Linked DNA regions of Tribolium castaneum. The protein of the gene in region 1 purifies or fractionates together with the protein of each later gene. This does not show direct contact. Links are inferred from orthologs where the notes say so. Each region holds a gene or a part of one and is shown in the gene's direction. Other genes may lie near its edges. The genes, in order: serine/threonine/tyrosine-interacting protein and ago.

Region 1 (3,672 bases):
ATGAAGACAGTGCGTGGTACATTTTTCCCAAACTTGGTCTCATTTCCCTGTTGTAGAATTACGCGACTTGAGTCTGTCGCAGTTAAATGAATTATTTCTGGAACTAGAGGTTTTAATTAGGGAATTTTCCGAAACGCTTATCTCGGAGTTGGCCCTCAGAGACGAGTTGGAGTACGAGAAGGAGCTGAAGAACACTTTTATTTCCCTACTTCTTGCCGTTCAAAATAAACGTAGACAATACCATGTTGAGAAGAAGCGGAGTTTAAAAAATGCGTCCAAGACTCCCAGCGGACTGGACCCGAAAGTACGAACTGGGATTTGACCAAATTAGTGTTATTGTTGCTTTCTTTTGCAGTATTTAACCACTGTCATTCCGTACCATTTAGATAGCGGACCACCGGATAATCAAACGTTACAAGTCCTGATTAAAAGTGACTAATTCGATTAAGCAATTTCGTTTCGATTAATTTGTTTGTTGTAGTTTTGAAAGCCATAAATGAAGACAGCCCCACAGTTCCCACTTTATTAACGGACTATATCCTAAAAGGTGAGGGCAATAAACGAGTGTTCCTATTTTAAGCCGTTTTTATTGTTCCAGTTATATGTCCGACGTAAAGTAGTCAAGGAAGCACAGATGAGAACCCAAAATCTAGCTTAAATATATTTAGTCTAGGCTTGACATAGCACAGATTTCAGTTGCAATATTAATTTATTTCCTGGTTGTTAATATTGTTCCTCTGTATATTTTTTTAAGTGATGTGTATATATTTTGCTTGAACATTCTAGTCTAATTATGTAATTGTAAAGTAACAATTAAATGTGAACTATTAATAAGTATTATGCACATCTTTGCTACAGTTCGTGCAATATGCACTCGTTTTAATTTTACTGATATTTTTGTACAAAGTGATATTAGCTACGAGTTTTATTCTTGCCCGACTTGCGTTTTCGCTGATGAAAGTAATATAAGGTTAAATTAGGTGAATTTAACATTTAATGTCTTAAATGTTACCTGTTTCAGAGCCAGCCGTTGATAATATTACTGTAGATCTCAATCAAATAAACCTTTGCAATTCAAAATCACGTTTCTTGCATATTTTTGTAGGTCGTAAAGGTAACGAGTGCTTTATGGCAGAGTCTTGCAAATTGATACAATCTGGCTGTATTTTTTTATTTCGATTTCAATGTTTTGGTCTGAATAAACCTTTATTGTAGAAAACTGTTTTTTATTTCTGGCGCCAAGTCTATAGATTAAAGGCGCGCATGCGCGCCCCACCGAAAACAACCGACTTTGTCCGAAGTGAGCAGAAGATGCTACTCCATTACTGCACATAGAAATTAATTAATTTCTAAATTAATATTTAACGAAGGATTAATATGCCATAATTGTGATAAAGTATTAACCAAGTGTTGTCTAAATATCGTGTGGAATTCACACCATGTTGGACGTTAACTCCAGTTCAGTGAAATTTCAACAAGATGAGGTTAGTTCATTTTTTCGCTAAATTCCGTCTTTCCCTCCCAAATATCCAACTCTTGTTACCGTAAATTGTTAAAATTCGGGCAAAACAACACATTTAATGCATGGGTAGTTGTAATTTCGGTTCTTTTCCATTTGGCGCCCAGAGATAAAACCTAACCCCCACTTGTCATTTGCCACTTATTGAGCTAAAAATATGAAGTACTTGTGTTTGGTAGCCGATGCACGAGATGCCCACGCTGCAATGTAGCGAATGGACGTACACCATGAGGAGAAATATGCAAGAAATCGTCCCGGGGCTGTTCCTGGGTCCGTACTCCTCTGCTCAAAAGCACTGCCTAAAGACACTCCGAGACCACGGCATTTCGCACATAATTTGCGTCCGACAGGACATAGAAGCCCAGTACATCAAGCCCCAAATCAATGATCTCTCTATAACGTATTTAACTCTAAACATAGCGGACACAGCCACCGAAAACATCATCCGGTTCTTTCCCACTGTGAGGCAATTCATTGACGAGGCGTTTCAGCGGAACGGCAAGGTGTTGGTGCACGGCAACAACGGCATTTCCCGCAGCGCCACTTTAGTCCTAGCGTACATTATGGAAAAGTATGGATTGAGTAGCAAGTATGGATACTGGTCGAGTTGATTCTGATTTATTTGCGTTGTTGTGTTTAAAGGGAGGCTATTGAGTGTGTGAAACAACGACGAGGGTGCATTCATCCGAACGAGGGTTTTTTAGCACAATTGATTGAGTATGAGCCGATTTATAAAGCGCGACAAACTCTGGAAAAGGGCGAGACTTCGAACGATAACAAACGCCAGAAACGTAAGTCCGAGCAGCTTTGCGAAAGTATAGACTATGATCTCATCCAACCGCCTCCAAGTCCGATTTCCGATAACAATAACCACGTCATTAACTGCCAACCGGACTTTTCCAACCACTTGTATAAACTGTGGATGATGAAGAAAAGTTAAAACTGTTGAATCTCTTGCTTCTGTTAGAATTTTTGTTATGTTGTTTTTACTTAAGTTCCGTAAGTTTAATATGTTGAAGTTTTTATTTTTGTTGTTCGTTTATCCTTTGGAAATTTTTCTTCAGAGTGCCATTGCGTTTATTTGATAAATTCCGTCTTGATTACTTACAAAGGGAGATTTCAAGTTTCAAGTGAAATTTCTCCACCAATACTCAGAACTAGTCAAACGTTGCGTTGTTTAATTTTGTATTGAATGACTCAATTGGTTAATTTAATGAATTAGCGTTGGAGGAATTGTGTGGAGCACAATTAAACTAGTTTTATAACCTGCATAATCCAATGAGTGTCTGTAGAGATTCCTCATGAAACTGATATTTATACTGTATTAGTATTTTTCCAGCTATGTACATAAAAATAGTGCCTATTTCTATGAAACTGTAAATTGATAAATTAGTCTAAAGAGCCTATTTTTATACTTTTGTAACATTTGTTTCGTTCCTGAAATAAATAATATGTTAAGTGTTACAATTTTTTATTTAATAACCAGACAAAGTCATCATTACTGCATTACTTAATTTTTGCTGGTATTAATACACAAATTATGTCACTACCGTTGTCATCCACCAACTCCCACTTGACATGGACTGGAATCTAATTAAACAATTAACAATCTATACAATTTTTAAACATACATTTGGATAAGTTGGGTACACGAACAGAGTGGTCTGATAAGTGTATGTTTCATCGGCTGCGATAGGACAAGTTAGTCCAGAATTTAGGCAAGCGTTGGGGTACGGAAAGGGGAACTCAGTTTCGACAACACCTGCTAAGACGCCGTACACTTTTGCACTTACTGTGTTTGATTCAGCATCTGAAAAAAATTCGTAAATATTCTAAGTTATATTTTGGTTACCAACTTGTGAAAGTAATTTCAATTGATGCATTTTTTCCTTTCTGCAATGTGCATATTTGGTCTTCTTCACAGTCTGAAACCCGAACTGATAAAAGTGAGTCTGGTTTTGAACCTAAAAAATTCTAGTTTCGTTAATGATGTGTTTAGTTGATCTACAAACCGCAGTCTTCGTATTCGAAGGTACAAAAAACCAACGAAAGTAAAATGAACGAAAGTTTGAAATACATTTTCGACAGTAAAAAATTGAAGGCCTGGTTGTTGTTATATGGAACTTGCAAAGTAAAAGCAGTAAAATTTAAAC
Region 2 (4,550 bases), on another chromosome or scaffold:
TTATCGTTACAGTAAGCACTGTTTAAGATTTCGTCCTCACATTTAAATACTAGAACTTTGTTATTGTCGCCACACACTGCCAGTTTATTGTAATCATCAAAAGCCAGTCTGTAGATGTAGCAGTTGCAACTAGCAACTGAAATAAAGTCTTTCGGTTCGCGTTTATCCAGAAGGTAAATGTCGCCGCCTTCTGTGCCCACAACAACGTAATTCGTGTTGTGTTGGTTGCATGCAACGCTGGTTAGAGAGCAAAACTCGTTGTTGTACAAAACTGAAAAATAAATATTTTTCGATAAAAATTTAGCTCAAAAACATCAGTATTAAAAGCTACATCCATTACAAAAAAAAACAATTTCCTATTGTAGCTAACTTTGGACACTTGTATACTTGAAAATAATGTTTACATCTTCACTTTGCTCCCGTGAAATATACATGATTTTTTCGCCTCACTGGACGAAAAAATAATTACCTGAGGCAGGGCACGGATTACGGTCGTCCCAAATACAGCACTTCCGGTCCATTGAAGCTGTGACAAAGACGTTTGGTTCCGACTTAAGTGTATCAACATAGTTTACAAGTTCCGTGTGATAATCGCTGGAAATAAAACTTAGATAAGGGAAAATTGTTGATAAAACTTACGGAAAGTGATTTAGTGGTTTACGGATAGTGCTATTAATGTCCCAAATGGTCACCGCTTTATTCGAGCAGGTGAGTATCCGTGTGCTGTTCTTCCAAACTGCGATTTTCGGAATGCGATCTATTTCCCTATAATAACCTGCCGATTGTATGGTTTGGTTTTCACGTGATATTGTGAGAATATTTAAAAGACCCGTATCTTCAGCTAACGCAAACTATTTTCATATTATTTGTTGTGTGTACACATTTAGCTGAAACTTACAGTACTGTCGTTTAAAAATTTCCCGTCTGAAACCGTGGACCCAATCAAGCTTCTGTTGTGTTTCAGAAGCAACAAATTCTCCTCATTTGAGAAAAATAGCAAAGTGCCTTCCCAAAGAGTCCCGTTTAAGTTCGAACACCCCAGAACTGACTCGTCTAAAAGACAATTAATCGCCAAAATTGAAAAAAACCCACCTTACCTTTTTCATTAAATTCTAGGAAAAGTAAGTGTTTGTAAACGACCGGTGTTGTCGAAAGTTCGACTTTCCGTTGCAGCGATTTATTCGGTGGATAAACCACCGTATTTAATTCGTTTTCAATCATTTTAACACAAATTCAAAAAAGAGTTCGAGGTTAAGTTTTGGTGCAAAAAAGCCACTAAAATCACATGTGCGCCGTTAAATTCCCCCAGCTTGTCACCTTGCTACTCCTGTAACTAAAGTCACGAAATCGTAGCGTAAATTCTCGAAATACAATGCAATGGTGTTGGGGAAAAACACAAAACGGATTTTCCTGCAATTGGTGAGTGTTTTCCAAAAGTTTGGGGTCCTGGATGTTTTTTTGGGCGAATGGTTTGTGGAGTCAGGGTGTTTGTGAAACGGGGCGGCGCCTTAGCCACGCGATTTTGCTGATATTTCTTATTCTTCATTTACACAAGTTCGTCCAGATATTTGTAATGGTGCCAATAAATCCTAGTATTTTGAGAATGGCCGTCAGTGTAGTTTTTTGAAAAGGTATTTTACCCAGCGAGATGCACAAGAAAACTCGCTTTAGTGTCTCGGAGTGATAGGAAGTAGCAAACAGTGGTCCTTGATGCATAGTTTTTGGAAGCATTTCGTTAATTTTCCTTCTTCTCTTGCAATTATCTGGTAGTTAGAGTAGTTTCGTTTCATGCCTTCGAATAATGATAGAAAATTACATCAGTAGGTATGTCAGATGCAATTATTCTAACCATTTTTCCCCCATTGCACTCATCTTGTAATTAAGTAGGATAACGTGTTTCACTCGCGGAGATAATTTTATCGCAAAACTTTACTTAAGACGTTTTTTGTTTTTTCTAGACTGTAGATAATGGCAGAATCATGTCCTTCAGGCAGAAGTAATTTCAACCCCTTATCTAGTATTAATCGAGATTCAGAACTTCCAAAACAAGACTGCACCAGCCCTAGCCCTACTGAAACCGTTTGTCTAGAGTCGTTGTGTACCACTGATAATGCACCAGGTACATCCCAGAATCACTTAGCTCCATTGAGTGAAAAACTAGATGAGATATTTAGAATTAGTCAATCGGGCGAGGAGACTGAAAAAACTAGCTTTCTCAATAAGCTAGGTCTGGAAGAATGTGATGAAGAAGACAGTTTTGAGAAGGAAGAAAACTGGGAGGATTGTACTGAAGGAGACCTCTCTGAAGAAAATCAAGAGCTAGAAGAGGTAACTCCATACAGTGTGTTAACTTTTTACTAAATTATTTTTACAGGACGAAGATAGCAGTGAAGTTTTTTCAGGTTCACCTCCAGGTCCTCATCAAACAACACCAAGGAGTTCGTACGCGAAGAGAAGTGGGTCGTACGCCACTGACAGATACTGGGTAAGCAGAAATTATGTTTGTTGTTTCAAGCGAATGTGCAATAATATTATTTTAAAAATAAACCCATTGACTGTTTCCATCACTGGATAATGCATTTTCTGCAAATGGTTAGCACAAGGCAAACAAAAAATTACAGGCAGAGATAATTTATATTAATTTTGCTTTTTTCTTATTCACTGATAACTAAAATATATGTCACATTTGTCTAACACGTGTAGTTTTCTTAATATATTCACTAAAAGTTTTAAAAATTTGTTTCTGGTGGCATTCATTGTTTCTGTGATCAACTATTGTTAAACCTTGTAATTATTTTAAAATATCTTCAAGTGAATGTAGATTAAGTCCAAACAACTTTTGTTTTGTTTGTGGTAAAATTGTCTATAAAATCTGGGAGACTTAAACGATCAAATGGTAAATATTTTCATCAAATCTTATGAAGAGAGTTATTAAGGTTTTTGGGATAAAAATATGTTATTCGTTTTCTACTAGTCCACATTGAGATAAACACCCTGATAGTACAAGAGAAGAAGCAATCTGTAACATTTTAGATGTTGCGAAAATTGTCAAATACTGATACTTTATAATGAGTATTTAAACTTAATTTGTTTTCGACTTCAGCATCAGATTTAGTGGTAATTATTCTACTGACATTGGTAAAAATCGTGGTAAACTAGTGTAATTATCTGCAATTTTTTGTAAACAAATCAGTGACACATTTTATTACGCCACTGCTCAGGTGGTACTTAATCTTTGCAATACCTGTTGTATTAAATAATTTCTCAATACTAGTTTTTGTTTAATTTTTTTTAACAAAATGTGACTAATAATAAATAATATTACTCTCATAAGTAAAGTTGTGACCATTTTTGGTTGTTGTTTTGACAATTTAAAAAGAAAATAATTAAAAAATACGAGTTGGTCTTGACTATTTGGTCGAAAATGTAATTTAAAGGAATTTGGTTTTAATGAACGCTTACCTTATCTATGTATAATACGAGTTTAAAAACAATCGTCACAGTTTTAATTATGTATTTAATCTTTATATAACTTTTAGATAAAATAACAAAACGAATAATTAAGGGGCATTGGGGAAAAATCGATAAGTAATACGCGAATAAGTCACGTTTACGTAGTAGTGCATTAAAGTTATTGCTCGTTTTTTAAACATTCCCATGGTCAATGAAGGTCTTTAACCTGTTTGGGACTTTGCTGTTTTTAACTATTTAGTTTACTTGTTGTTTTTGTATTGGTAAACACGAGTTGGGCGATAACGTAAATTAAAGATAGACATAAAAGGTAATAATTTTGATCCTTTTTGAAATTATCGTTGTATAATACAAACTAACAATTTTCATAGTTATTTATTATGCCTGTAGATTTTTTTTTAAATTGTTGAAAAAATGTTTGTTACCTTTGACAACCTCTAATTCTGTGTTTAGTAAACAATGTTACTCAAATATCTATGATAATAAAGCAATTTCCACATAATCACATGCATTAGAATACAGTGTAGTAATAATTAACTGCATGTCATAAAAAACTTATCAGGTTAATTTTGCTTTTTAACGCTAGTTTTTCCGGTTTAAGATGTTACATTATTTTCACCTTAATGGTGTTTATGTATTAATCGCAAATGTAAAGAGCTTAACAAAAATAAAACAGTCGTACTTCTTTTTTTTTAATGATGAAACTTGTAAGTGTTGAGTCGATAACATAATACGTTGATCGACATATGATTTTAGCCTAATCTTCTCTCTGATATTTTTTGAAACGAATATTTTGTGCTGTTTTGTTAGCAGTTGTAATGTGTTTTGTTCGGTTTTTTTAGAGAAAACGGAAGTTGGACGTGCAGAATGGGTTTCCGTGCAAGAAGTTGCTACCAGAAAAGAAATCTGACGTTACTTCGATGTCATCTGAGCCCTCTGCTCGTGCGCCGACGGCGCCCGAAACCAACGGTGAGAAAATACAAGCGATAATTAACTTTTTTCGACTTCGAAATGAAATATCTCCAAACTTAATACAAATTTTTCCATTTTTTTAAATGAAAACTAAATACTATGTTATT

The links.
Region 2: the proteins of serine/threonine/tyrosine-interacting protein (region 1) and ago purify together in Homo sapiens (affinity purification with western blotting; 4 studies listed by BioGRID and IntAct, with this or other methods). This does not show direct contact. The link is inferred for Tribolium castaneum from reciprocal best matches to the Homo sapiens genes STYX and FBXW7.

Annotation. Positions count from the first base shown.
Region 1 is NC_087402.1:6,747,728-6,751,399, reverse strand, and holds serine/threonine/tyrosine-interacting protein, read left to right. Parts: upstream 1-1,298; 5' UTR 1,299-1,439; coding exon 1,440-1,484; intron 1,485-1,698; coding exon 1,699-2,108; intron 2,109-2,161; coding exon 2,162-2,459; 3' UTR 2,460-2,986; downstream 2,987-3,672. Other genes in the region: Unc-76 (fasciculation and elongation protein zeta-2), read left to right, coding at 1-9, 57-304, 356-431, 482-547, 599-615. UniProt on the Homo sapiens protein: Catalytically inactive phosphatase. Acts as a nuclear anchor for MAPK1/MAPK3 (ERK1/ERK2). Modulates cell-fate decisions and cell migration by spatiotemporal regulation of MAPK1/MAPK3 (ERK1/ERK2).
Region 2 is NC_087394.1:36,179,912-36,184,461, reverse strand, and holds the start of ago (archipelago), read left to right. Parts: upstream 1-1,563; 5' UTR 1,564-1,824; intron 1,825-1,958; 5' UTR 1,959-1,968; coding exon 1,969-2,328; intron 2,329-2,374; coding exon 2,375-2,485; intron 2,486-4,313; coding exon 4,314-4,440; intron 4,441-4,550. Other genes in the region: uncharacterized protein LOC655874, read right to left, coding at 1-271, 470-594, 640-851, 899-1,053, 1,098-1,221. UniProt on the Homo sapiens protein: Substrate recognition component of a SCF (SKP1-CUL1-F-box protein) E3 ubiquitin-protein ligase complex which mediates the ubiquitination and subsequent proteasomal degradation of target proteins.